Elephas maximus indicus: one gene and its partners. The protein of the gene in region 3 interacts with the protein of the main gene of each other region in a pairwise test. Links are inferred from orthologs where the notes say so. Each region holds a gene or a part of one and is shown on either strand. Other genes may lie near its edges.

Evidence for each region.
Region 1: the proteins of FHL3 (region 3) and THEG interact in binary tests that used the Homo sapiens proteins (3 or more experiments, as listed by UniProt). The two-hybrid records come from large-scale screens. The link is inferred for Elephas maximus indicus from reciprocal best matches to the Homo sapiens genes FHL3 and SPMAP2.
Region 2: the proteins of FHL3 (region 3) and PATL1 interact in binary tests that used the Homo sapiens proteins (3 or more experiments, as listed by UniProt). The two-hybrid records come from large-scale screens. The link is inferred for Elephas maximus indicus from reciprocal best matches to the Homo sapiens genes FHL3 and PATL1.
Region 4: the proteins of FHL3 (region 3) and MRPL27 interact in binary tests that used the Homo sapiens proteins (3 or more experiments, as listed by UniProt). The two-hybrid records come from large-scale screens. The link is inferred for Elephas maximus indicus from reciprocal best matches to the Homo sapiens genes FHL3 and MRPL27.

The regions. Positions count from the first base shown.
Region 1 is NC_064821.1:158,814-166,433, forward strand, and holds the start of THEG (testicular haploid expressed gene protein), read right to left. Parts: upstream 3,009-7,620; coding exon 2,695-3,008; intron 1,828-2,694; coding exon 1,723-1,827; intron 1,433-1,722; coding exon 1,364-1,432; intron 931-1,363; coding exon 869-930; intron 1-868. UniProt on the Homo sapiens protein: May be involved (but not essential) in spermatogenesis.
Region 2 is NC_064825.1:122,446,821-122,454,703, reverse strand, and holds the start of PATL1 (protein PAT1 homolog 1), read left to right. Parts: upstream 1-4,876; 5' UTR 4,877-5,102; coding exon 5,103-5,117; intron 5,118-6,993; coding exon 6,994-7,105; intron 7,106-7,883. UniProt on the Homo sapiens protein: RNA-binding protein involved in deadenylation-dependent decapping of mRNAs, leading to the degradation of mRNAs. Acts as a scaffold protein that connects deadenylation and decapping machinery.
Region 3 is NC_064821.1:79,579,895-79,586,887, forward strand, and holds the start of FHL3 (four and a half LIM domains protein 3), read right to left. Parts: upstream 3,020-6,993; 5' UTR 2,849-3,019; intron 1-2,848. UniProt on the Homo sapiens protein: Recruited by SOX15 to FOXK1 promoters where it acts as a transcriptional coactivator of FOXK1.
Region 4 is NC_064837.1:43,281,603-43,288,740, reverse strand, and holds the start of MRPL27 (39S ribosomal protein L27, mitochondrial), read right to left. Parts: upstream 3,013-7,138; 5' UTR 2,981-3,012; coding exon 2,941-2,980; exon of another isoform or gene 2,905-2,940; intron 503-2,904; coding exon 371-502; intron 1-370. Other genes in the region: crossover junction endonuclease EME1, read left to right, coding at 5,001-5,775, 5,861-5,985.

The DNA of each region.
Region 1 (7,620 bases), about 79 Mb from region 3:
GTCTTAAAAACTAGCAAGCAGCCATCCAAGATGCATCAACTGGTCTCAACCCACCTGGAGCAAAGGAGAATGAAGAACACTAAAGACACAAGGTGATTATGAGCCTAAAAATCAGAAAGGGCCACATAAACCAGAGACTACATCATCCTGAGACCAGAAGAACTAGATGGTGCCCAGCTACAACCGATGACTGCCCTGACAGGGAACACAACAGAGAACCCCTGAGGGAGCAGGAGAACAGTGGGATGCATACCCCAAATTCTCGTAAAAAGAGCAGACTTAATAGTCTGACTGAGACTAGAATGATCCCAGAGTTCATGGTCCCCAGACCTTCTGTTGGCCCCAAACCAGAACCATTCCCAAAGCCAGCTCTTCAGACAGGGATTGGACTGGACTATGGGATAGAAAATGATACTGGTGAAGAGTGAGCTTCTTGGATCAAGTAGACTGATGAGACTATGTGGGCATCTCCTGTCTGAAGGGGAGATGAGGGGGTAGAGGGGGTCAGAAGGTGGCGGAATGGACACAAAAAGAGAGAGTGGAGGGAAGCAGTGTGCTGCCTCATTAGGGGGAGAGCAATTAGGAGTATATAGCAAGGTGTTTATAGATTTTTGTATGAGAGTCCGACTTGATTTGTAAACTTTCACTTAAAGCACAATAAAAATTTTTAAAAAGCCGTCCACTTGCAGTATTTCTGTTATAGCAGCAATAGACGACTAAGACAGACTCCTAGAGGCAGGAAACGGGCAGGTGCAAAGACCCCCGAGGTCCTGGGCACCTAGGTTGGGCCCACGGTGGGGATAGGCAGTACCCCTTCTAGGACCCCACCCCACAAGGCGATGGTTGACACCAGGTGCACCCTTCTTACCTGGCACTGTGATAGATAAGGTGGTATCCTGGAGAAACCTCTCTGTCCAGTATACAGATGGCCTGGAATACACCAGCACAGCCCAGTGGGAGGGAGGCATGGGGTGCTCTGCTCGGAAACAGAAGCTCAGGGGCTCCCCGCACATACCCACAGAATGGGGGACAGTGACAGGGGAGAAGGGGCAGGAAGGGGAGCAGCTCCAAATGAGGGGCGGGGGCAGGTCAGAGAGGACAGTGGGGAGAGTGTCTCAGCCCCATGGGTTGTATGTTATTGTGAGCAAAGGCCCTGTTTGCGGGGCGGGGGAGGGGGGGTGGAGGTGTAACTAAGAACAGGGACGAATCATGAAAGTCGGCCCCCTTGGGGTGAGGAATGGCCCTGAGGAGAGTGAGCCTCCATCCTTGCCCTGGGGAAGAGAAGGGGGTGGCTCCAGCAGAGTGACCCCGGGAACCTGGCACGTTCCCCCACGGGATGGGGGTGGGGAGGGACAGCACTTACCAATAGAGGGAGAAGTGCAAGGTCATGTTGCAAGGGGAAATCCAGGCATAGCCCTGGCAGCAGCCCACCCTGCGATGAGAAGGTCCAGCCCCCACTGCCCTCTGCTCTGGGGCTCGCCTTGGGCCCACACTCCCAAATCTCCTGGACACCCACCAGGGGCACCTGCCCCCCAACGAGCCCCACCTCCAGTATCTTAACTGCTTATCCTCCCTCAGCACCCTTCCTAACTGCCTGGTCCCCACCTACCCTAACTCTGTCATGGGTGGGAACCTGGGGAGGGCCTGGGAAGATGCAGAGGGGACCCCGGGGGGGCACTTCCCCAGCTCGCTCCCCCAGGCCTCTAACTGGCATGCCCTCACCTGTCTTTCAAGACTTGCCAGTTGGTCTTGGGTCTTGCCAAATCGAAGACCCTCCTCTTCTTCCTCCCTCTGGGCACTGGCCACTCGTGGCTGATGGACAGCCGGCTTTGGGAGAATCAGAGCAGGCTTGGAGCAGGATTTTCTCCCCAACATGTTGGGGAGCCCAGAGCCACTTTTAGGTCTTGCTCAAGCATCTTGAATCTGCTCTCACCCCACCTAAGTGAGTCTTCTCCCTCAAAGGCACCTCTTTGGGGCAGCATTCTGGGGTCAAGAGGACTTGGGTATGTGGGCTTGGTCTTGTCACCTGACTGCCCAAGCCTCAGCTCCCTCCCCTCTGAGGTGGATGTGAGAATGGGTCCCATCTTCCAGGAGTGTGGTTGTGATTGAATAAGGTAATGTTCACTATCTCGCAAACATTTATCAAGCACCTACTGTATACCAGGCCCCGAAGGTGGAACTGAACCAGGACCCCTCGCTCTAACCTCTCCCCTCTGGCATCTGAATGCTGTCTGCAGACTCTACCATTGGCCACCTAGTGAACAGGGGGCTGTGTTCTCCCACTTTTGCCTCAAAGGCTAGTGGAGGTGCTGTCACCTGGGCCTATGGCCTTCATTCCCAGAACCACATTCAGAGGCCCCAGGAGGCAGCTCAGCCTCCTTCTGGTATCCAGGAGATGCGGTCTGGTTGTCATGGGTGTGGAGCTGGTGCTCCTTCTCCGTGTCCCCCCACTGCCCTGTGCCCCCCCACTGCTACATCCCGCTGCACCCCGCTGCCCCACTCCCCCCCCACTGCTCCATCCCTCCCCCACTGCCCAGCCCTCCCTTCCCCATCTCCCCTCCCCCGTCCCCCCCCCGTTGCCCCTACTCCCATGGCTTCCCTGTTCCCCGCCCCCGCTGCCCCGGTACCCCCGGTGCCCCATACTCCCCGCCCCCCGCTGCCCTGTACTCCCCTGTTGCCCCCTCCCCCGCCTACCTCACTTCAGGAACGTCCTCGTCCTCCTCCACGTCTTTCTGCAGGACCCTCTCCAGATTGGAAAGTGCCTCCTCCGCCTCCTGGCCCTGGAGGACTTCCTCTCCGGCCACCTCCTCTAGGGGAATGTCCTCCTCGTTGTCCCCCAGTCCCAGCGCAGCATCGTCGGGGTCCTGGTACTTGGGGTCCAGGGCCCCCTGGCTCTCGTTGGCGGAGTCCTGGAAGCCCAGGACATCACGGTCCTGTTTCATTTCTGCCTCACTCGCAGCCTCAGCGACATGGTTGTTGCTGGTCAAACTCGGCCTGTGGTCCCCCATGGGACCTCCTGGCCTTGCGCCTTCCTCCCTCAAAACCCAAGTGGCTCTGCCGTCGTCATGGCAACAGGAGAATGTCCCAGCACATTCTTGGGGCATTCTGACCTGTGCACTGTCCAGCCACCCGCACAGGACTGAAACTCCTCTGTGGCCTGGAGCTCAGACCTCCACCTCGGCCTCGCTCTCCCCTCCAGCCTCACTGGCCTCAGGGAGGCAGCCACTCCCTCATCTGTCTCTCTGCATCCCAGCTTCTTGCTTGATTTCTCCATGGCATTTGGCATTGCCTAAACAATGTCACAGGTTTTTCTTCCTCAGTGTCTGTCTCTGTCTTCCAGAAAGTTGTCTCCTGAGACCAGCGGCTGAGGTGAGCTACTCACTGCCGCTTCCCTACGGGCTGCAACAGAAAACGCTCCGCTCAACCCAAATGGATTCAGATTTGAATGTCAAAATAAAACTCTAAAACTTACAGAAAAAATTAAGGTGGAGTGGTACAAACATGTGGCACTCAGATGAGAACCTAAAGGTTGGTGGTTCGAAACCACTCCGTGGCACTGCGGGAGAAAGGCCTGGAGCAGTTCCACTCTGTAACACATGGGGTCGCCATGGGTCAGAATCAACTCAACAGCACCTTTTTTTTTTTTTTAAATCTTTCTGCCCTCGGGGCAGGGAAGGATTTTTTTTTTAAGAGACACAAAAAATGCCGACCATGAATTATTGCTAAATTCATCCATATTAAATTTAAACACTTCTGATAATCAAAAGATACCTAAACAAAATGAACAGACAAATCACAAATCTGAAGACAGTATTTGTCACATACATAGCTGATAAGTACCCGTAACACACAAATAATTCGTATATATCAGTAAGAAAAATGATGAACCAAGTAAAAATTAGGCACAAGACATGAAGAGACATTTCTCAGAGGTGAAAGCCGTATGGGAAACATTATATTATAGTTAGGCGTGGAATTGCATATTCCTTTTTTAACATATTTATTGTCTTTTTACCCTATTAGAGTCGAAGCTCCACGCCGGCTCGCGCAGTAACCAGCCGCTGAGCGAGGGAAGGAGGCAGCAGTACCTAGAGCGACCACAAGATGTCGCCCCACTCAAGCGCGCGGTGGCTTCTCCAGGCGTTAACGTCAGACCGAGGCCTTGTCCGCACATCCCGCTGCGTCTTCCCAAGTCTGTCCTTTGGTGGGTTTTGTTACCGTCACTCCCACTACACTGAGAGGAAAATAGGTTCAGAGAAGCGAGGTCACTGGCCCAAGATTGCAAAGGTCGGATCTCTCCAGAACCCAAAGCCTGCACTGCGGAATCCAGCGCTGAGGAAAGAGGAAGACCTTGGTGGAGGCTAAGGAGCCAGTGCAGCGGGAAATGTCCAGGGACTGCGGGCAGAACAGCGTCTTCCTGGGTCTAAATTCACCTCCCTGGATCAGCCAAAGCTGTGCCTTCCCTCACTCAGCAACGGTCTGTGGCTCCCACCTTCTACAAGAGCTCCCACGGGAGGGACAGACTGGTGGCTTCAAGGTGCCTGTAAGTGGAATGCAAGGCCAGGTTAAAAACTATCAAGCGTGGTGAGAAATCACTCCCTTTCCCTTTAACCACTGTCCCTCTGGCCAGAAACAAGGCTTCTGATATCAAAATCCTCCGTTTTGTTTTTGAAAGCACAGCCCCGTTCCTGAGGATAAGTGAGGAGACAAAACAGGATGAGCAAAGCTTCCTGCTTCCCACCCTGAGACTAAATTAATTCTCCCAAAGGGGGCGTAGCTAAAGGAGGGGGAGTCAAAGAGTAAACTGGGGGGGTGTCAACATTGGGGGGCCAGAAGAAGGCTGGCCAGGGACCACACCCACTCAGCCACCTGCCCCAGGGTCTGGGGACAGTGGAGAGCCCAGTGAGGCCGGGCGACCTGAGAGCAGAAAAGACAGCTCCTCCCCCTCAGACAGAGCCTGGGGGAGGTGGCATGGGGGCGTCCATCTGCTTTGCCCTTTATTAATATTTACCAGGGTCTCTCTCCCTCAGCACTGCTGACATGGGGGCTGGATCCTTCTCTAGGTTGGGACCGTTCTGTCCACTGCAGGGTGTTGAGCAGCATCCCTGGCCTTCACCCACTTGACACCAGTAGCACCCCCTCAGTCATGACAACCACAAATATCCCCAGACATTGCCCAGTGTCCCCTGGGGGCAGCATCACCCCAGGGAGAAGCCCTGATAGGTAGGGAGGCCTGGTTTGGTGTGCCAACCAGCAGGGCCCTGGGATTAAATACGTGCTGCCTGCTTTCATTAAAGTAGCAAAAATCTCACACTTGTACTTGAAGCTTTGACCCTTTGACCCTGAAAAGGAAGCTGCTGTTGGGTTTGGTTTCTCTGGTCCCAGTTAGGGGTCCATTTTCTCCCATAGCAGCAAGGCCCAGAAGGAAGTATCACCTGGAGTCTGGGCAGAGCTCAGAGCTGCGCCCACAAATGTCTGCCCACACAACTGGGCACCAGGGAGAAGACTAGGTCCTAGTGCCTGAAAGGATGCCGGGGTTGGCAGGGAGCGTGCCGGGCCTTTGCGTTCTGGGGTGTTTGGAATGTAGATGCCGTGGCTGGGGCCAAGATTGGGGTAGCCAGTTGCCAAGGCGTCGACGCCAACTCGTGGCAAGCCCCTGTGTATCAGAGTAGAACCGTGCTCCGTAGGCCTTTCAGTGGCTGATTTTTTGGAAGTAGATCAGCAGGCTTTCTTTTGAGGACCCTGTGGGTGAACTCAACCTCCGACCTTTCGGTTAGCAGGCAAGCACGTTAATCATTTACGCCACCCAGGGACTATGGTTGGGTTCGAGGCCTGTTAAAATAGAAGCTCCTTTTTCTTCGTGGGTGCAGTCCTGACTAGAATAGCAGCGCTCCACATTCCCCTGCGATGCCTGCCCAGCCCACAGTAGACGGGGGAGGAGGGGCATGTCCTTCCCCTTGGTATTTTTTAACTTTTTGGTGTCATATCCCCCACGCGTCTGTCGGTTTGTCATACTATGGGGGCTTGCGTGTTGCTGTGATGCTGGAAGCTTTGCAAGCAGTATTCAAATACCAGCAGGATCACTGTTATGGATTGAATTATGTCCCCCCAAAATATGCCTATCAATTTGGCTAGGCCATAATTCTCAGAATTATGTGATTGTCCACCATTTTGTCACCTGATGTGAAAAGCCTATCTCTGTGATGTTAATGAGGTGGGATTAGTGGCAGTTATGTTAAGGAGGCAGGACTCAAGTCTACAAGACTGGATTGCATCTTAAGCCAATCTCTTTTGAGATATAAAAGAGAGAAGCAAGCAGAGAAACAGGGGGACCTCACACCACCAAGAAAAAGGAGCTGGGAGCAGAGCGTGTCCTTTGGACCTGGGCTTCCTGCATGGAAAAGCTCCTAAACCAAGGGAAGATTGATGACAAGAACCTTCCTCTAGAGCCTAGAGAGAGAGAAAGCCATCCCCTGGAGCCGGCACCCTGAATTCAGACGTCTAGCCTACTAAACTATGAGAGAATTAATTTTTCTTTGTCAAAGCCATTCACTCATATTTCTGTTATAGCAGCACTAGATGACTAAGACAGTCTCCCATGGCAGACAGGTTTCAGCTGAGCTTCCAGACTAAGACAGACTAGGAAGAAGGACCTGATGGTCTATTTATGAAAAAATTAGCCAGTGAAACTTTATGCATAGCAGTGGAACACTGTCTGATATAGTGCTGGAAGATGAGCCCCTCAGGTTGGAAAACAAAAGATGACTGGGGAAGAGCTGCCTCCTCAAAGTAGAGTCGACCTTAATGACATGGATGGAGTAAAGCTTTTGGGACCTTCATTCACTGATATGACAAGACTCAAAATGAGAAGAAACAGCTGCAAACATCCATTGATAATCGGAACCTGGAATGTACGAAGTATGAATCTAGGAAAATTGGAAATCGTCAAAAATGAAATGGAACCCATAAACATCGATATCCTAGGCATTAGTGAGCTGAAATGGACTGGTATTGGCCATTTTGAATTGGACAATCATATAGTCTACTTTGCTGGGAATGACAACTCAAAGAGGTATAGCATCACACTCATCATCAAAAAGAACATTTCAAGATGTATCCTGAAGTACAACACTGTCAGTGATAGGATAATATTCATACACCTACAAAGAAGACCAGTTAATACAACTGTAATTCAACTTTACACACTGACCACTAAGGCCAAAGATGAAGAAATTGAAGATTTTTGCCAACTTCTGCAGTCTTAAATTGATTGAACATGCAATCAGGATGCATTGATAATTACTGGTGATTGGAATGTGAAAGTTGGAAACAAAAAATATGGATCAGTAATTGGAAAATATGGCCTTGGTGACAGAAACCATGCCAGAGATCAAATGATAGAATTTTGCAAGACCAATGACTTCTTCATTGCAAATACCTTCTTTCACCAACATAAATGGCAACTATACACGTGGACTTCACCAGATGGAATACACAGGAATCAAACCGACTACATCTGTGGAAAGAGATGATGGAACAGCTCAATATTATCAGTCAGAACAAGGCCAGGGGCTGACTGTGGAACAGACCATCAGTTGCTCATATGCAAATTCAAGTTGA
Region 2 (7,883 bases), on a different chromosome or scaffold from region 3:
CATTTGGGACTTCCGACCTCCAGAACTATGAGAATAAATTTGTGTTGTTTTAAGCTAGTAGATTTGTGGTAATTTGTTACAGCAGCAATAGGAAGCTAATATACCACAGTTCGGGACTTAGCTCATATCCAATAAACTACCTGGGCCTTGTTCATGACATTTTATATAATAGATTCTCAACAAATATTAATCAAATTGAATTGAGTCCTCTTCAAAAAAAAAAAAAACAACTTTAATGTAAACAATACTTTACCAAAGTATAATTTTCAAAAAGTTAAAAACATGACTCTTATTCACATATACTGTGAGCATATGCCAAACATTCATTTAACTCATCAACGAGAGAACCAGCAGGATGGCAAAGCTGGTTCAAAAGAAGATATAAGAAACTATGAACTATATACACAATGAGTCAAAAAATGCTCCAATAAGACTCAAAAGTTAAATGACTAATGTCCTGCAGGGCAATAAAACTGGCCCCTTTGGGATTATCTTTTCTACCAAGATGAAATTATCTCTACTGAAAAAAGTAATTTGCAACATGTCAACCTTCTATAAGTTAACATGGAACTTTACAGAGTCTGAGACCTCATTAACAGCAAATAGTAAGTCAAACACAGTTCCCTTCCCCTGGAACTTCAAATGATCCTTAGGCAGGCTTGTCAGGTAATGCTTTGTTATGACATTGAAAGAGAGTACACAATAATCTTTTTCCCCCTCATTTCCAAGTTTTGTATAATTTTTCTAAACAGACTTGTTCCAGTCATCTATTCCTGAGTAATAAATTACTCCAGATTTTGTTGTTGAAAATCACATTTTGTGCGTCAGGAATTTGGGCAAGGCTTGGATGAGTAATTCTTCTGCTGTGCTTGGTGTCAAATGGGGTCACTCAATAGTCAGTTGGCAGCTTAGCTGGTATGGAGAGTCCAAGACAGCTTCACTCAGATGCCTGCTGTCTTGACCAGAGTTGTTGGTAAATTAGATTCTGCTGGGCAGTTCTCCTTCTCTGTATAGTCTCAGGGCTTTTATGATCCTTGCAGCAAGATAACTGAGTATCTTGTATGGACTCACACTGCCAATCTTCTTAAAGACTAGATCCAGAAGTGGCATGGCATCACTTCTCCCATCCTTCATTGGTCAAAGTCCAGTTCAGATTCAAGGAGAAGGGCTCACAGAACGCACCTCTTAAGGGCAGTACTGTCAAAGCATTTGAGGCCATGTTTAATCCATCACAAGCTATGTTTTGTAAATTTCGATTTTCATTATTTGGGTAATCCTTTTTGTCCTAACATCTATTGCACCAAGGGTCCCCATTACCTTCTGGAAGGTTCACCACAGATTTCTTGGTTACATGAAAAATGACCCAGCGGCCACTCCAGAACTCTTCTTCTCCTTCTCTGTAGCCCTCTGCAAGCACTCACAGGCAATGCTTTCAGAGCAATGGTTCTCATAGTACTGGACCCAGCAGCATCAGCATCACCTGAATGCGAAGCTCTGGGGGTGGCATCTAGCAGTTTGTGTTTTAACAAGCCCTCTTGGTGATTCAGAGGCATCCTAAAGTTTGAGAATCACTATTTAGAGATGTATGTTACTTAATAAAAATTATTATCATTTGAAACTAGTCCCACAAGAATTCACAGAGCCTGTAAATAACACAATGGGTTATTTACAGCTTCTGGGGAAAGGACACAATGATGCCAAATAAAGCCTGGTGTAGTGGTTTTCTCTAATAGATGGCCTCTCTCAGTTATCAAAAGCCTCTTCCACCAACCTGGAATTTAGGAGACAGCTCTCTTCTTCCACCCACTCAAGGGATACTCTCAGCAGGGCCATACTTTATTTCTAAAGAATCTCTTGTGAAAAGAACTAGTGCCTTCTCCATCTTATAAAATCCCAGTAAACCACTCAAAAAAATTTTTCTCTTCAAGGGAATCCCATAATCTCCCTCATAGACCAGTGTCTTAGAGAAAAAAGGGGAATTTTTTTTTTATTATATGAAGAAGAACTCGGCATCAGGATTGGAGGGAGACTTGTTAACAACATGTAATATGCAGATAACATAAACTTGCTTGTTGAAAGTGAAGAGGACTTCAAGCACTTATTGATGAAGATGAAAAACTATAGCCTTCAGTATGGATTACATCTCAACATAAAGAAAACAAAAATCCTCACAACTGGACCAATAAGCAACAAAGAAAATACTGAAGTTGTCAAGGATGTCATTTTACTTGAATCAATAATCAACGTCCATGGAGGCAAAAGACAAGAAATCAAACAATAGATTGGATTGGCAAATCTGCAAATGACCTCTCAAAAGTGTTAAAAAGCAAAAATGTCACTTTGAGGACCAAGGTGCACCTGACTCAAGCCATGATATTTTCAATTGCCTCATACGCACGTGAAAGCTGGACAATGAATAAAGAAGACTGAAGAACTGACGACTCTGAATTACAGTGTTGGCGAAGAATACTGAATATACCATGGACTGGCAGAAAAAATAAATCTATCTTTGAAGAAGCACAGCCAGAATGCTCCTTAGAAGTGAGAAGCGAGAGATTCGGTCTCACTTGCTTTGGGTGTGTTATCAGGAGGGACCAACCCTTAGAGGTGGACATCATGCTTAGCAGAGGGTCAGTGAAAAAGAGGAAGATTCTTAATGAGATAAGTTGATACAGTGGCTGCAACAATGGGCTTCAACATATCTACCATTGAGGATGGCACAGGACCAGGCAATGTTTCCTTCTGTTACACACAGGGTCCCTATGAGTCGGGACTGGATGGCAACTAACAACGAAAGGGGATCTTATAATCTCCTTATAGACAGGTGTTTCATGAGAGAAAACAGGAATTTTTGTTGATCTTCTCTATATCTTGTTTCCTATTTTCTTAATTTCTGCTTTTATCTTCATTCTTTCTTTCCTTGGGTTTATCCTATAGTTCTTATTTTCAGGCTTCTCTAATTTCTTATATAAGCTGCTTTACCTATATCCTAAAAGTTTTGGCATGTTGCATTTATCATTCATTTCTAAGTATTTTTGACTTTCTATTGTGTTGTCTTAATTGGTCCATGAATTAGAGGTTTTATTTTAATTTTTTAATTTCTGAAAGTATAGGGTTTTTTTCTAACCTATTTTTAATATAATAATGAGAAAATATGGTGTGCAATATCAAGAATCAGAAAGCTTTTTTGCAAAGAGCCAGATAATAAATATTTTCAGCTTTGCAGGCAATATAATCCTCATTGTAAGTACTCAATTCTGCCATTGTAGCACTAAAGCAGGCAAAAACAGTATGTGAATAAATGAGTGCAGCTGAATTTCAGTAAAACTTTATTTATTAAAACAGGCAGCTGCCCAGATTCGACCTATCGGCCATAGTATACTATCTCCTAGTCTACCATTTCGGTGTTAACTGTTGAGACATGCTGTTACCCAGTACACGAAATTTTGTAAAGTTCTATGCATGCTTGAAAACCAATTATCGTGCTATCCCAGGCCTGCTTGCACTTCTTAAGGTTCAGGCCTGGCCCAGGTAAACATTTGCTTTTATCCTGACACAGTGATCGAGAGATTGGGCTTTTGGAATCAGAGAGACCCAGGCTACCCCTACCTACTTAGCCACTGGGTGACCTGGGGCAAATTACTGAACCTCTCTAATCCTCAGTTTTCTCATTTATAGAATGGACAAAATAATAGTATGTACCTCATGGGGTTGACATAAGGATTCAATGAGATAAGGACTATGTAGAGCACCTAGCAGAATGCCAGGCAGGCTTCAACCATTATTAGTAGTAGTAGGTTCAATCATTGTGTCATCGAATCACTTACTCCATCCAACAAACAGGTATAATTATACCCATTTTACAATCAAAGAAACTAAGGCACAGAGAAGTTCAGATTAACTTGCCCAATATCTCTTAGCCAGTATCAAAGCATTGATTCTCACCCTGAACTACTATTCCCAAATGCAACGTTCCCCATACTCAGGCTGATTAATCCGGTCACACTAACAAGTGAGGAATTTACTATACGCCACTCCTAGGCGAGGCTGCATTTTAAGAGACACCCAGAGAAAGGAGTTGAGAAAAGGGTTGCGAAACGCACAAGAATTAATTCCCAGTCGTGCAAGTTTAGTCCTTTACGAGGAAAGAGATGGTTCAGTAAAGACAAACGGGATTAAAGAGCAGTAAGCAGCCACCAGACTTTGGAAGCTGGGTGCCAAGGTTTATAACCCGGACAAAGTCTTTTCTGGACTTGATCCTCTAACGGAGCGGTGTCACCCAGCGGCGCCCCCAGGCTCCTCGGCCTCCATGACCTTGCTGTCGTCCCACCAGGAAGGGAAACGGCGGGGCTGCCCTCTGCGGTTCTCCACGTGCCCGAAGCGCCCGGCGCCTAAAAATACCACCCTAATTCAACCGCCGGAACATGCCTTCGGCTTTTTACAAAACGGGGCAGTCATCACTTGAAACCACATAAATCACAGCCCTGGGCTGCTGTTGATTCTGCGGGTAATGCGCCGCTGACAGTGAGACACATTCTGCCCTTTACGATGACTATGAATTTATCTTTTCGCTCTCTGCTTGGCGCAGATCGTATCGTGAGGACACCGAGCAGTTGGGGAAGCTCCATTTCTCCCAGCCCAGACTAAACCCGGGGCCCTTCACAGCCATATCCTGTGACAATCACACGGGTTTCCTCCGCCCCGCAGCTGACGGAAAACTCGTGACTGTCTTTCAGCTCCGAGGTGAGCGCGGGGCGGGCAAGCAGAAACAGGGGGCGGAGCTGCAAGTCCCCGACTCGCAGGACGCCCCCGATGGGCAGCGCCTGCGCAGTCTCTCGCCACGGGACCTCCTTCCCGCCGCCAAGACTAGGAAGCGGGACGCCAAATCTGTCCCTGCGCAGCCGCCGCCGCCCTGCGCCCAGCGGGGCGGCCGCCCTCCCCCAGGCGCGCCTGCGCACGTTCCCACGCACGCTCCGGGCGTACGGCGGCGGCCAGGGGTCGCGAGCCGGTGGAGGACCCGCTCGCGGAGAAGCCCGGAGAGTCAGCGTTTCTTCCCTCCCTCCCCTACTCCCCTCCCCGCTCCCTCCCCCCCCTTCCCAAGAATGTTCCGCTACGAGGTGAGCTGTTGCGGCCGGAAGTGACCCCTCCCTCCCTCACGCGCCCCTCTTCCTCTCGCCCCCCCCCCGGGCGCGTCCGTCCCGCGCTCCTGGGTGGGGGTTAGGGGACAGGTGGCGGGAGCCGCGGGACAGCGGAGCACCACCACCGGGGGTCATCGGTCTAATCCGAGGGCTGTGAGCCGGTCTCGGGGGGTCGGGACTGCCCCATCAATTCCGCTGGGGAGAGCTGGCCTCTGTTTTGCGGTGGGGAGGACCCGTTAACCGCTGTAACCAGACTCCTCCACCTCTGTCCCGGGAGGAGCCCAGGAGGGGACCGGTGTGCATCAACCCCGTGACCATTCCTGAGGAGGTAGAGTCACCCGGGGACGCCCAGAGACGCGTTTCCCGCCCTGGAGTCTGCACCTCTTCTCCCCCGGTTACTGACACTCACCCATACACACTTAACAACCACCCGGTCAGGGGAGCGGGGACTTGCCGTTTGACTGGGGCCCTGACTGTTTACTAATGAGAGCCCAGAGTTGGGAGGGGGGCGTGTCCAGCAGAAGTTTTCTTGAGTGGAGGGAGACCTGGGTTTGGTGACGGATGCCGGGAATGTAGCAATAGTTCTGACCGTGTCACTAACCCACTGTGTGACCTTCAGTGACTCCTTATTTTTGGGCAAAGGTTTCTGTATTTGTGAATGAAAGGCTTGTCTGGATTCTTTGTGATTCAGAAAGGCGGTGATTTGGTTAAGTAGATCTCTGTGATTTGGAAGGGCGTGCTGCTGGAAGTTGCCTCTGATGTGGAGGGAATTGCATGTCTGCTTTATATAAGTTTGGGAGGACTTAGAGATGGGTAGAGTGGCCCTTTGGCCTAATCATTCCTTTAGGAACAGCGTAGCTAAGAGGTAGCCAGGCAAGATCATTGTCAACCTACTTACTGAGAGATTGTGACATTCCAGTTCGGAGCCTTTGGAAATTGTGAACAGATGAGCTCCATACTTGATGGGAGAGGTCCTAGACCAAACTGATCTTATGTAAACATAAAGAGATGATGGGATAAAGTGGGCAGAAGTTGCCAAAAGAAAACATGGAGAATAAATCTATTGAAGAGTGAAGTGGAAGGGGAAAATGTTTAAAATGGAGCACCAAAACCGATACAGTGATATCTAGCATTTGTTCAGCAGCCCATTGCTACTGCTTTTGATGCTAACAACTCTCCAAGATAGGTGATACTGTACCTGCACTGCAGTTTAAGAGACTGAGGCTTAGAGCCTGAAACATCATAGGTACTCAGTCAGAAAGAACATGACTTGTGGGACCGGAACTTGAATTTGCCATGTTGCAGCTTTTTCAGAATTCACTTACTGGTTGAAAATTTAGCCTTCTGTTTTGTCACTAGAATTTGAGCCTGTAGAAAAAAGAAGAGAGAAGGATGGAAAATGCAGAGAAAGCTTTACAAGAGAGTAGCAGTTGAAAAACACAGCATGGATGTAATAAGGAAAATGAGATTTTGGTTGAAAAAAGATGTATAATACTCAAGCAAAATAATGAAGCATTTATTTTCATTCTCATTTTACTCCAACCAGTGATGTAAAGAAAGTTTCAGGCCTAATTTCTGGTTACGTGGGGAAATGTTACTATTAAATTCTTGATAAATTAAAGAAATGAAACACTTGGGAAGCAAGATTAAATGAAGTAAGGAACAGGAAATAGTAAATGAAAGAAAGGAGGATACTGGAATCTTCCAAGTCAGGCAAATTGGGAAGTGGAGGAAATGCCATCTTCACAAAAAGTCATAGTAAGGCTATTATGATCATTGGGAAGAGAAAATGAACATTTTTAAAACAAGGATGTAAACTTGATGAATAGCTAATACCTTTTCTCCTCTTTTTCAGTCTTTGGAGGATTGTCCTCTAGATGAAGATGAAGATGCATTTCAGGGCCTAGGAGAGGAAGATGAAGAGATTGATCAGTTCAATGATGATACATTCGGGTCAGGTGCAGTTGGTAAGTGGCATCTTTCTTTCTCATATCATCTTGGTCTCTTACTCCTTTATCAGTGCTTTGTCTTCATAGTAGACCTTCATTCGCTAATTTGGCAAGACATCTTCTATTCTTAGAATAGTTCGGTCTTCACTAGAAGCATCTACCCTCCTCCTCTGGGCCTCTTTTTGCCTCACTTTTTTTTTAATAAAACCAGGTATTCTCTAAGGCCTGTCCCTTCTAGCTATATGACCTATAGCTCAAGGTTGACAGTATATAGTTACAGAAGTAGACATTTGAAAGAGGTTTGAAATAATCCTAGAAGAGAGAAATTTTTATGTGTAGAACACATAACTTAAGTGAAGGGAATATACAGCGAACTAGAAGAAAATTCAGGTTCTGGGGTATGTGTGAGTTTCTTTTAAAATTCAGTCTATCAGTAACATATTGCTTGGCCTCACTGTTGTCTTATATTATTTTTAATAAAATAGAAGCTTTTTATCCCAAGGAAACCCTGGTGGCATAATAGTTAAGAGCAATGGCTGCTAACCAAAAAGGTCCACGGTTCAAATCTACCAGGCGCTGCTAGGAAACTCCATTGGGCAGCTCTACTCTGACCTGTAGGGTCACTGTGAGTCAGAATCGACTCAACAGCAATGGTTTGGTCTTTTTTTTTTTTTAATCCCAAAGAATGCTGACGATAAGATTTCATGAGTTTAAAAAAAAGTTTTGTACGCAAATGAAATTTTTCCATGTTTGTTTATAGAATAAATATTTTTAGAATTGGAAAAAGTCAAAGAAC
Region 3 (6,993 bases):
ACCACACATATAGACACACAGCTGGCACTTCCTAGCAAACCTCCTAGAGCTCAGAATGGCTGGATAACAGACTTGGTGTGTGGAGCAAAATCTTAAATCTGGGTTTGAATCCTGGCTCCCTTCACTTACTAAGCTGGGTGACCTTGGGCAAGTCACTTAAGCTCCCTGAGCCTATTTTCCCATCTAATAAAATGAGGTAATTATAACTCTCTACCTCCTAGGGTTGTTGTAAGGTTTAAATGGGGTGATACTTGTAAAGTACCTGGTAGATAGTAAACAAAAAAAACCAAACCCGCTGCCATCGAGTCGATTCTGACTCATAGTGACCCTATAGGACAGAGTAGAAGTGACCCATGGTTTCCAGGGGGCGCCTGGTGGATTCGAACTGCTGACTTCTTGGTTAGCAGCCAAAGCACTTAAGCACTATGCCACCAGGGTTTCCTGGCAGATAGTAAACACTCAGTAAATGTTGGCTGTTGGTCTTTTTATTATTAGTCCATTTTTCATAGTGGGGTCAGATGGCAGTTTCTCAGCCAGGCCTGGTGTTATAGATTGAATTATGACCCCCAAAAATACATGTTGTAAATCCTAACCTCTATGCCTATGGTTATAATCCCATTGGGGAATGGGTTGTCTTATGTTAATGAGGCGGGATTAGTGTAGGGTGTATCTTGAGTCAATCTCTTTTGAGATATAAAAGAGATTAAACATAAGTTAGAAGCAGAGATGGGGGAAGAGAGGTGCCAAGCCATGTGAAGATTGCTCAGGAGCACAAGCTCAGAAGAGACTAGGACCCTCCCCCAGAGCCAACGGAAAGTCTCCTACTAGAGCTGGCGCCTTGAATTAGGACTTCTAGCCTCCTAAACTTCCAGAAAATAAATTCGTTTGTTAAAGCCACCCATTTGTGTTATATTTCTGTTATAGAGGCACTAGATAACTAAGACATAGGTAAGGGAACTGTACTTTCTCAGTGTAGCTGGGGAATAGAAGAGGCCCTGAGGCCCATGGGGCTGGCTGAGGAGACTAGGAGGGCTAGTGGTGGCTCTGGCCCAGCCACCCTGCTCCAGCAAGCCTATCTCTGCCTGCAACCTATCCCAGAGGCACAGGTGTGTGCGCACCAGCATGCAGCTTTGCCCTCCCAAAGAGCATTCACACCCACTACCTCATCAGGCCTCAAAAGACAGGCATCACTCTCCAGCTGAGCATAAGAATGCCAGGGCAGGGCCATGCCCAAGATCACTCAGGTAGTCAGAAAGCCCAGGTCTCTGCCACCCAGCCTGGAGCCCATTCCCGCTTCTCTCCCTGGAAATCCTTTGAAAGGGGTTTGGTGGTGGTGGAGGGGCTGGTCAGTATTTGAGGGCAGGGAAACAGGAGATGCTGGGTAATATCACCAGGACTGGAGCTTGGCTCTTCTCCCCTTTTACCCCCCAGCTGCCAGCTCTGCGATTGGAAGACACCCAGAAGCCTTTCCAATTACCCATGCCAACCACTCAAACCCTCCAGCCCCCAACTGTCCAGGAGGGCCCCACAGCTGTGAGTCAGGATCAGGACAGACACCTCCCCCAGCTCCCAGGAGTTGACAGGAGTCTTAAGGGGTGAAACCAAACTCCCCCACTCCCCACTACCAGGCACCAATCCCAAACTCCTTTCCCCCTTCAGTTCCCCCAAGGGACCTGGAAGTCAGAGAAGCTTAGGCAAAGAGGGATGGGGCACAGGATCTGGCAGCTGCTCTGGGGACAGGGGAGGAAGAGTTCATTCACCCTAGGTCCCCCAGGGCTGAAGCAATGCATCCAAGACTTGAGTTTAAAAATAAGTTGGGGCTGCCTTGGTGGCTGTGTGTATTCGTGGGGCTGCTTCTTCATCTCAATCTCACTGTCTCAGGTCCTGGGCCTCGGGGGGCTCAGCTGGCTCAGCTTCTGCTTCCCCACATCCTGGCTTCCCCATCTTTCCTGGCCTGGGTCTCTGGGTCTATCTTGGAAGCTGTCAGCTCGCCTGTCTCTCTGCTCCCATTAAATCTCAGTCTCTGGAGTTCTGGCTCTGCTCTGCTCATAATTTCTCTGTCTCAGCACACTTCAGCAGCTTTCCTTATGTTTTTGGGTGTCTGTCTTTGACTAGCTATCTCCCAGTGGTGGCCACCACCTCTCTGGATCTCTGCCTCTGTACACTCAAATCTTGGTCTCACAGTCTGTCTTTAGAAAGCCTCAGTGTCTCCACCTCTACCCTCTGAGCTAGACAGTGAATCCAGAGGCGGGCTTACCAGGAAGCTAAAGAAACATAAAGTTCAGGGCACTCAAAGGCCCTAGCAATGTGTTTACGGGGTCATATGAATGTCTTTTCTTAAAATGCTCCACAAAATCCTAATCTGTCCCTATATCTCGGGTCCGTCTCTCGGTGACTCTGTACACCAAGTCTGTGTCCGTGTTTCCATTATGTCTGTAGCCCGTCTGTCTCCGCAGACCCGGAGCCTAAGCCAACCGCTCATGTCCCTGTCTCTGTCCCGGTGTCTCGGTCCACCGAGGTTTCTGCCAGCCTGTTTCTCGGACCCTCCCGGTCTCTGCAGGCCGAAGTCTGTCTCTCTGGCTTTTCTATTTCAAACTTCGTCCCCTCCCCCGCCCCACTCTCGAGGCAGCCCCCGCTCCGCCAGGCGGCCGGGAGCGGTCCAGTCGGGACAGCCGGCGCTCCGGTGCTCAGCGCCTCCGGCTCCCAGCGTGCCCGGTGTCCCCGGCCGGACCTGGGCAGGGGGCGGGAGCCGCAGCTGTCCTTAACCCTGTGCGGGCTGTCTCCGCTCCCCGGCCCGAGGGAGGGGACCCGGCTCTGGGATTCAGAGCCGGGTCGGCGGGGAGCTCACCTCGAAGCAGGCGGCAGCAGCGGGGCGCAGCGCCCGTGAGGGTGGGGACAGGAACCGGGGGTCGCGTCTCTCGGCGGCTCCTACCTGCGGGCCGGGCCGAGCGGCGGCCGAGCGAGCTGCCGGCGAGGCTGCCGGCTGGAGACGGACTGTGTGGGCGAGTGGGAGCTTGGCCCCAACCCCTCCCCGAGGAAGTGAGCGCGGGAGCCCGCCCCGCCCGGCCCCCGCCCCCGGGCCCCCCTGCCCTCAGGGTGCGGACCCCGCCCCCGGTCCCCCAAGCGGGCCGCTGGGGGCCAGGCCCCGCCCCCACCTCCCTTTCAGACTGGAGCCAGCCCCAACCCCCCTCCCCCAGGCCAGCCTAACCTGGCCCTCCCAACCTTCCCGGAGGGAGGGACCCCACCCCTGCCCCCTCCCTGCAGCCTTTGCTGTCCTCTCTGTCTCCCCTTCTGTGCCCCCAGCTGCAAGCGGGGGATTGCCGTATTCAACCCCGGACAAGAGGCAGTGGACCCCGCAGACCAGGGTCTACTAGGAGACCAAAGAGTCCTCATGCCCTCTTTGTGTCCCCCTACCGGCTTTCCCCAGGGGTCACACTCAGCTTGAGCGTGTGTAGGAGGCCTTAACCCAGCCTGGAGGAGGGGATGGAGTCAATTCAGCTGTCACGGCTGGGTCAGTGGGAACTCAGGTGTTCTCCGGAAACAGGGGGTGAAGAAAGGGCCTCCCTATAGTGCCCTGACCTTCGAAGAGTCTTATTCCACAACCCTGAGCGGCAAAAACAGAGGTAACTACCTCCCCAACCCCAGCTGAAACCTGGCACTGTGAGATCCCGCCTTGATTTCCGTAGTGCCCAAAAATAGTTTTGACCTTTGATGCCCAGGGGAGACCCTAATCCTTGGCCCCATGATCTTTGGGCTTTTTTTTTTTTTTTTTAGGAGGGGTGTGAGGATGTGAGTGGCAGAAATAATGGAGGGGAGGGAACCCTCCCCCGTTTTCTGCAGTTTCTGAGCCTCTGGCTTCCTCCCTGTGCCTGGGAGGGAGAGCTGGCACCTGCCAGGGACATGGTGCCTCTCCAGGTTCTTGAGGCCACCCCCCCTGGGATCTTCAGGCTTGTCACTAGGAATAAATAGCCTCCCTCTGGAGGGAAGGGGGAGGGAGGAAGGAGGCTCTGCTGTACTGTTTGCAAAACAAGAGACAACAAACCAACCCTGGAAATAACCTCGGGCATCTAGAGATTGAGGTACCCACAGAGGCCCCCCAACCCCTCCCCAGGCTGAGTCCTGCCAAGCTCTCAGGGCAGGGACCCACTCCCTCCCATGCTGGGGCTCCGGAGGACCCTCCTCTCCCATCTCTGCATCACCTGCCTGGATTCCCACTCCTAAATTGCTAAATTGCCCTTCGGGCCAGGTTTCCTTTCTTAATTAAATAATTGCTTGTTTATTATTACTGTTGTTGTTGCTGCCTAAACTGCAAGTTCCATGAGGGCAGAAACTGGGTCTATCTTGTTTACTACTGCATTCTCAGTATTTATTCCAATGTCTGGCACATAATAAATATCTGATGAATGAATGAATGAAGACACTGCTTCAATCTGACTCCAACCCCCTAGTTTGGACCATAGGCACCTGCTATCCGGAGCCCAGGAAGTGAGCAGCTAGCCTATGGGTGGGCCCTTTCACTGGCATTGAGGTCCGCAGAGTCTAGGGACTGGTCTCACAGGTGCAGGGGACTCCCAGCCCTGGGGAGTCACTGAGTTGGAGTAGATGGCAAGAGGGACGTCTGCTCTGGGGTGAGGGAAGGGTGAAGGTAAGAAGCTTGCAGAAATGAAGTGGTTATGAGTAAGTAAGGAAGGCTCTGGATTAAAGGCAGAGTATTGGGTCTCTGCTGTTTTCTCATAGCTTGAATCTCTGCCTAATAGCCTTAATTATAATACGAGCCAGTGTTTCCTGAATTCTTACTTTGCACCAGTTCCTATCTAAGCACTTGACATGTAGGAACTCACCTGATCATCCAACAAATTGATGAAATATTATTTTTATCCTTACTTTAAAGATGAGAAAAGGGAGGCAGAGTGACACAACTAATAATGGCAAAGCTTCAAACTGAAATCCAGACAATCAAATGTCAAAGCCCCTTATGCCAAAAATAAGCTTAACCACTAGGCGCTACAGCCTCTATAGTCATTTAAGCCTTGGTCTCTTCATTTGTTGAATAGTTGACTCCCTATCACATAGTGTTGTTGTGAGTATTGGATGAGAGCACACAGTAGGTCTTCAATATTTGGTAATTACCCCCACTCCTCAAACCCACATACCCTTTCATGGTCAAGTGTTAAGGTTCTGTTGCTTGGATTTGGAGCCTGGAGGCCAGAGAAGGTTAGGACATCTCCTGGGGGAGGGGGACTGGCTTAGAGAAGGGGGACTGTGTCTTTTTCCCTCTCCATTTCCAGCTCCCCGATGGGCTCACATTTCCCTGCCCACTCTATTTCGGTTGGCCCAGGAGGACGTGCCGCATGAAGGCCTGGGTATCAGCCACATGGACTCTCTGTTCCCTATCTGTCTTCCCCCACTCTCTGGGGAACAGGTGTGTCTGAGCCAGGGCTGGAAGCAGAGTTTCTAGTGCTGCATGACAGGTTCGGGGTGAGTGAGATCTGGTTGTCCCTTTATACATCTGGGAGGTCCCACACAGCCTTCCTTGTCTCATGGTGGAAGGGGGCTTGCTCAGGGTCCCCAGCTGTTCTACCACCTTGGAAAGGTTTTCAAAGGAGGCCTGGGTGATGACTGACAGGCCTCTCATGGTTTCCTCTGGGTGCTGAATCACTCTCTGATGCCTGTAACCACAAGTCCTCCTTCACCCAGAGAGAAAACTTCCTTCCTTCTCTGAGTGTATTGCTCACTCTTACACGTACTAGGCAGCCTAGAGCCCCTGCAGGCCTCATGGCTTAGCCGACACCCTTTTGCAAATTGCCCAGAAAACACTGTCCTCGTGACCCCAAGCCTGACGATGGGTCTGTGGGTGGAGATGGTGAAATGAGTGACTTCTACTGAGCATGGGGGTAAGGGAGAAGTATGGTACAGGGAGCCCTAATGTGGTTAAATGCCTACCTTGTGCTAAGTGCTATCGTTACCTCCTTTAATCCTTATAAAAACCATACGATGTGTTATTATTATTACCACCATTTCATAGATTAGGAAATGAGGCTCAGAAGAGTTTGAGACTGTGGCCCCAAATCATAAGCCCACAGGTGGTCGATGTGCAGTTCAAATCCAGGGCTGACTCAGGGTTCCCCTAGGGCACAAAACTGCCTTCTGGGCATGCCTTTTTTGGAGGAAGTGCAGGAGTGGCTGGGCTGCCACCTGGTCACTCGGCCTGATGTGTGAGCTTCTTAATCTGGCTCATTATTGACTCTTGGCTTTTTGTAAAAGAGATGGAGGAAGTACAGCCAGAATGTTCCTTAGAAGCAAGTGTGGCGAGAGTTCATCTCTCTTGCTTTGGACATGTTTTCAGGAGGGACCAATCCCTGGAGAAAGACATCCTGCTTGGTAAAGTAGAGGGTCAGCAAAAAAGAGGAAGACCCTTTATGAGATTGATTGACACAGTGGCTGCAATAATGGGCTCAAACATACGTACTATCATGAGGATGGCACAGGACCAGGAAACGTTTCATTCTGTTATATGTAAGGTTGCTATGAGTTGGAGCTGACTCTACAGCACCAAACACCACCACCATTATGTACTAGACACCATGCTGGGAACCAGAGGCACAATGGTTCTAGTTCTAGCTATTCCACAAACTAGTCGTGTGTTCTCCATTAGACTAGCCTTCTAAACTGTGCTGTCCAATGGAGTAGCCACTAACTACATGTGGCTGTTTAAATTAAACTTAATTAAAATAAAAAAAATTAGCTCCTCAGTCACAATTCCATGTTTCATGTGTTAAATAGCCACACATGCCTATTGGCTACCATATTGGAAAGTGCAGATATAGAACATTTCCATCACTGGCAGAAAGCTCTACTGGATGGCGCAATCTGGGTCTCTGTGTTGCCTGGGAAATGGGGATAATAACACAGTAAAGCCTGCAAAAGCTGGAACTTGTGTAAGGAGGAAACCTGTTAGAGAAGGAAAACGCAAATATTTTTCAGTAAATAGAG
Region 4 (7,138 bases), on a different chromosome or scaffold from region 3:
CCAGTTACTGGGACAGCACAACACACTGCTAAGAAAACACGACAGTTCTCACCTTCCTGGCTCAAATGCGGCATACCACCCCCGACCAGAAACAACTTCCACATGGTCCAACACAAGCAACCCCCTGTCCTCCAACCCCCTTTTCTCTAGTCACAAAGCCAAGGTTCATACCTACCCACCCCTCCCCAAGGCTCCCTACTCCTCCTCAGATCTCATCTGCCCCTTTACTCCAAAGACAAACGCTCCGCTCTGGTGGGCTAAACTGAGAGTACAGGCCCAGGCACTTGCATGGTCTCTCTGCTCTTCTAAGAAACATCAGGAGCAGCAGGGTAGGTGCAGCTGGGAAACAAAAGCCAAGACATATTCTCACCTTCCATCTTCTTGATGCCATAGCGTCTGCCAGATGACTTTCCACCAAGGTTTTTAGAGCTTCCACCTGTCTTCTTGGAAGCATATCTGACAGCAAGAGCTGTAGCCTGAGGGGGGCTCAACAGAGCTGTAACTACAGAGAGGTAGCAGAAACATTGTTCAGACAGACAGGCTCTCAATCAGGCTCTTTCTTGGCCTCAATGGGCTATTTACTAAGCTGAGAGGTGAAAGGGGAGGCGGTGGGAGGGGAGGTAAGGGAGATGTGACGGGGGAGCAGAAATGCCACTTGAGTGTGTTGACTTTCAGGGAGTGTCTAGAAGTCCCTGGCCTTCTCCAAGGGGACAACTCATTCCTTATGGTATAAGCACTGGGTAAAGTATGTGTGGGGGGTACTGAAATATAAATGGAAAAAATTAAATAAACACCATGTGCCCTGGGTCCTGACGCATTCAGTTCTGCACAGATGAAATAAACACCACAAAAATAGCAGAAGCCAGCAAGAGAACACCACAGAGCAGCCTGCTTCAGCCTTACTCACCATTATGCCCTCAAGACCAGACCACAGAGCCCAGCAACAGGACACCCAGAAAGAGGCTGCTTCTTTGGCCTCACTCATTGTGGGCTCCTTTTTAAGCTATCCACCATCCACTGCACACCAACATACCAGGTACTTGTAAACAAAATGGGGAACTTGTCTGAGGGCAGCTCCCACAGGCTCCTGGTCATTTTCAGAAAGCTGGACTGTTTCTTCCCAAAGCCCATCAAACAGAAGTCCCACTGAGAAAACCAACAGCCTGCCCTTGTTAATATGATATCTCCATACTCATTCCAAAGTGCTCAATGGCATTTATTTTAAAAAGGAAAATGAACTTAAATTCATACTAACCAAGATGGGACCCCTTTCTGTATGACAAGTGCAGGGCTGGCAGTCCCTGCCTTCAGTTCTCCAGACACAACATAATCAGGACCAGAGACTAGTTGGGGCAAACCAAAGCCAAAAAACCAAACCCACTGCTTCAAGTTGATTCCGACTCATAGCCACTCTATATGACACGGTCGAACTGCCCCATAGAGCTTCCAAGGACCGCCTGGCGGATTCGAACTTCAGACCTTTAGTAAGCAGCCCTAACACTTAACCACTACATCGGCAGCATTTTCAGTTGGGGCAAAGGACCATAAATGAAAACTTGCTGAACGCCCAGCACTGGGGCCTACTTACCTTTAACAAAAACCCGTTGCTGTCGAGTCAATTCCAACTCATAGTGACCCTATAGCACTGGTTAGAACTGCCCCACAGAGTTTCTAAGGAGGGCCTGGTGGATTCAAACTGCCAACCTTTTGATTAGCAGCCATAGCACTTAACCACTAGCCACCAGGGTTTCCTACTTACCTTTAAACACCTATTAATTCGATCATTCACTCACTTACTAAACTCAAAAACCGGGCTTATGATTTACCTACATGAGCTCATTCACAAACCTTTACCCTACTCCCCATCCTCCTCAAAGTAAATGGTGCCACCATCTACCCAGTTACTCAAGTGGAAACAAAATCACTGCAAATTCCATCTCTTTGCTCACTTCCCATATCCAGTTCAGGAGCAAGCTCTGTTGATTCTACCTTCAAAACGGATCTCAAATACATCCATTTCCCTCTGAGTTCACTGTGGCACAGTGGGTAAGGGCCCAGGTGCTAACCAAAAGGTCTGCGCTTTGAATCCACCAGCCGTTCCTTGGGAATGCTATGGGACAGCTCTACTCCAACCTACAGGATCACTATGAGTCAGCATCGACTCCCCTATACTGGGTTTGGGTTTTTAATTTTTCTTCCATCTTGGCTAAATCATCTCTAGAGCTACTACAAGTTTCCCATCTGGTTTCCTCATCTCCACTCCTATCCCCTTTAATTCCACACAATACCGATATTTGATTCTCAAAATGTAAAACTGGATTAAGTCACTCTCCTGGCTCTCATGCTATACAGACCCAGGCCTCCTGTCATCCTTTAGGTCTTAACTTAAACATTACCTCCTTAGAGAACTTCCCTGACCACCCAATCTCAAAAGATACACACTTTCATTTTTTTGTTTCTTTCACTTGTCACGATTTACAACAATTTTATTTATTTACTTATTTATTGGCTCACTCACTAGAAAAAACTGTGCAAGGCTTAGGGACCTTGTCTTCACGTTCTGTTCGGATCCCCAACAACAGAAGCCCTCAATCTGTTGAATGAATGCATTTCCTTTTTGAGCTACAGTGTATTATTAGCCTATTTGATAGATGAAAGGATCCACACAGACCCAGAGACGCTTGTCACCAAGCGCCAGGGAAGCAATGCATGCACCAAAAGAGACACAAGGTCACGTGTTCCTTGATAACCCCCCCCCCCGTACCGGCCCCTAGCGGTGTCACGTGATCTGCGATAGCCGACCCTCAAGCCTCGCGCTCAAGGCACTGCGCCTGGCACACTACCCGGCGCGGCCAGAGTCCTCCGCGGGGAATGGCCTCCACCCCCCCACCCCCCGGCCTCCTGGCTCGGGCTGCACACCGCCCCTGCAGCATCCGTTACCAGCTGTCCGCGCCCTCAGCGCCGCCACCGCCAACGCCATGTTTGCTGTACACAAGCTTCCGATCTCAAAACTTCTGCTTCCGCTACCAGGAGAATTACTTCCGGGTCCTGCGCCGCACTGGAACGGGTAGCGCCAAGAGTTGCAGGTGAGCGCTCAGTGTTACGCTGGCCTGGCCAGGGCTTCCTTACTGGGCCCCGTAACGGAAGGCTTTGTGACAGGGCGGTCAGGGGTCCCTGCAGGGCATGTGGATGATACTTGCGGACGCCCGCGGCCTGGTGCTGGCATGAGGCGCGGAGCGTGCCCGGCAGGTGCCCTCTTGCCCTACTCCTTCGTTTTGCAGGAGTGAACCGAGGCCCAGCGAGGGCACAGATGAGGCTTCTTCCCTCGTCATTTAGGTTACTTTATGGAGCGGTTGCTGTGTGCCAGATACTATACTAAGCGCTGTAGATGAGTTGTTTCATTTAATTGTCGTAACCTTATGCAGATATTATTTTCCCGATTTTACTGAAAAAGAAATCGGCTCATTAAGTTACATGGCTCACCTGGGGTCACATCTATAGTATTAGTAAATGTTTACAAGATGACTCTTGCATGTCGTGTGCCTTCAAGTTGATTCCCACTCATAACGACCCTGTAGGACAGAGTAGAACTGCCCCATAGGGTTTCCAAGGCTGTAATCTTTACAGGTCTTTTATCCCACAGCTGGTGGGTTCGAATCACAGATTTCTGGGTCAGCAGCAGAACGTTTAACCATTGTGCCACCAAGACTCCTGACTCTTGCATAAACCCCCCTCCAAAAAAACTGTTGCCGTCCAGTCAACTCCGACTCCTAACGACCCTATAGGACAGAGTAGAACTGCCCTGTAGTTTCCAAGGAGCGCCTGGTGGATTTGAACTGCTTACATATTGGTTAGCAGCTGTACCTCTTAACCACTACGCCACCGGGGTTTCCAACTCTTGCATAGAACCCAGCAATTCCACTGCTAGGCATATACCCAAGAAAACATGCCCACACAAAAACTTGTACACAAATACTCATAGCAACATTACTCATAATAGCCAAAAAATGGAAACAAGCCAAATGTCCATCAACTGGTGAAAGGATAAACAAAATGTAGTATACCCACACAATGGAATATTATTCAACCATAAAAACAATGAAGTACTGATACAGGCTCCGACATGAATGAACCTTGAAGACATCATGCTAAGCGAAAGTAGCTAGTCCCAGAAGACCATATATTATATGATTCCACTTTATGTGAAATGCCCAGAACAGGCAAATCCACAGAGACCGAAAATAGTGGTTACCAGGGGCTGGAGGAAGGGAGGAATGGGGAGTAACTGCTAATGGGCATAGGGTTTCTTTTTGGGGTGATGAAAATGTTCTGGAATTAGATAGTGGTGATGGTTGCACAGCCTTGTGAATATACTAAAAAGCACTGAAGTCTACACTTTAAAAGGATGAATTTTATGGTATGTGAATTTTATCTCAACTAAAAAGAAAAAAATGACTTTTGGTATCTCCATCTCAAATGCAGAAATCAACAAGGGGGTGGTGTTGAGTCTTGTTAGTACCTCCGTTAAAATTTTGTAATTGTAACCTCCACTTTGTTTATACCCACTCCTTGTCCTAGAAGGGATTTGAGGAGGGTTCCTGTTAGACTAAGGAGCCCAAGTGCTCGGCTGCTAACTGAAATGCCTGCAGTTCAAACCCCCAGCCACTCTGCAGGAGCAAAGACCTGGTGATCTGCTCCCAAAAGATTACAGCCTAGAAGACCCAGTGGGGCAGTGCTGCTCTGACACAAAGGGTCGCCATGAGTCAGGATTGACTTGACAGCACATAACAAGGCCTGTCAGACTACAGACATAGCTGTTCTGAGTTCCAGATTGAAATGTGTTGGGGCCACATCCTATTTCTCTGTTTCTCTGTATCTCAGATTTATTTCCATAAGGCTTGGCCATAGAACACATTTAGTGGATCAAATTGAATGCCACAGTCTGTCTCATCTCTTTTTTTTTTTTTTTTTTAAGGTAATTACCTTGACAGCACATAGCGATGGCTCTAGGGAAAACATCACTCTTAGTGGATTCCAGTGAGAGTGATTCTGAGGAGTTGCCAGTATTTGCCTTTCTGAAAACGAAACCATCTTCCTCAAAGAGATGGCAGCCTCAGAGGGAGGGGAAGATTGTAGTGATTAATGCCTCAGATTCTAAGGCCTCCTGCCCTCCATCACCAGGGATGAAAGATCTACCACCTGTCTCGGACACATGGGAAACTGTCACACAAACAGAGCCAGTCAGGGTGCTAAGCAGTGGAAGTGAGGGTGAGGAGGAATTTATTCCCCTGGCTGAGAGGCTCAAGTGTAAATTTTTGACCCGCAAGCAGCAGCCAAGCCCTGAGGACTCTAGTTCCCCAGTTAAAAGTGTCTTAGATCACCACAATAATGAAGGAGCATTATGTGACTGGAAAAAACAGCCCTTTCCAGAGATCCCTGGTGTTCCCCTCCATGATACCTCAGAGAGGAGCGCTTCAAATAACAAGCATCCTATCTTAGACAACCCATCCCGTCAGCTTCCAGCCTACCAATCTACCTGCCCTGTCCAGGACAACAGCTCGACAGTAACAACATATTCTGAGGTCCCCATGCCTCAGAAAAGAACCAGGCACAGTCAGAAGGCCCGGGCAAAAGACGGGCATCAGGGACAAGTGAACCAGAAGGAAAGCACCCTGAGGCAACAGGAGAGGAAGAAGAAGGCCTTGCAGGCAAACAGGCTGAAAGCCCAGAGGCCAGAGGAATGCTTAAAGCACATCGTTGCTGTCCTGGATCCAGGTCCTCCTTGCCTCTTACCTCACCCTGTGCTGAGTTTTCTGCTTTCCGGGCCATCCACTGACAGCCCCTGTCCCATCTGTTGCAGTGCTCTTACAGATGGAAGGCGGGGGCCAGCTCCTCGGGGCACTGCAGTCCATGGAGTGCAGCTGCGTGATTGAGGCCCAGGCTGTGCCTTGCAGCATCACCTGGAGAAGGGCTAGGCTGTCTGAGGTAGGTGTTTTCCGGCTTACATCTCTCCTCCCCTGCGAGTGCCAGGGTAAGTGTGGTTTTCCTTTTGAAGGCTATGTTATCAGTCAGGCCCCAGGAGGAAAACAGATGGCACACTCACCTTAGGATAATTTGAGGAGGATTTAATAAAGGGACTGTTTTCCAGGGTATAGGCAGGGTACAAGGAAACGAGGGACAGTGCGGTGCCTCAGGGTGATAACGGCATAGCTCAGGGCTTATCAACCTCTGGTACTGCTGACATTTCAGACCATGCTGACCTTGCTTGTCAGGATGTTTAGCAGCATCCCTGGCTTCTGACCGCTACATGCCAGTAGCATCCCTCCCTGTCCTGACAATCAAAGATGTGTCCAGATATTGCCAAATATCCTTTGAGGGGGGAATCACCCTTGGTTGATAATCACAGCATAACTGTTGCCATCCCGAAGCTTGAAGGGGTGAAGGGAGGGAGTCGTTATTCCTTAAGAGAAGCTTCAACCTCCAGTAGAAGGGTGTAGCAAACCCTAGGCCATCCCATGGAGAGGAAGCCAGGGAAGAAGATACCCTGATTCACTCTTGGTCCCTCCCACCTCCTACTGGGACTCCTCACTGGCCACTCACCTGGAAGCCAGCGGGTGGGTGGCCAAAGGGAAGGTAATCTGCACAGGACCCCCATTTCTCTAACTGGGCTTTGGGATTGGCTGGGCTTGCATTTCAATCTCAGCTTCAGCTCTGATTCTCAGCTATGACCCTGAGCAAGTTATTTCATCTCTTTGAGCCTCAGTTGCCTCATGTATAAATGAGGAAACTTGTTGCATCCCTTTCAGTGCCCCCTGTTTTGGGGACTAAATGAGATAACCCAGCACTGAGCACGTATTAGGCACACAATAAGTGCTCCTTCCCCTACCCTCACTCCCCAGGTTACTACAGCTCCTGTGCCTTTGACTCCTCTCCTCTGTGAATCCAGCATCCTCCACCCCTCATTTTCAAGAGTCTATACATGAAATGTGAAGAGCCTTTCCTCTCTTGGATTTCATGCCTTTCTCATTCCACTTTTCAATTTGAAGGCATTAGCAAACCTTTGTGTTCACATGGTAGCTAATCCTTTCAAGGCACTTCCATGTTTTCTGTTGTGTTTCAGTCATGGTGGTCCTGTAAG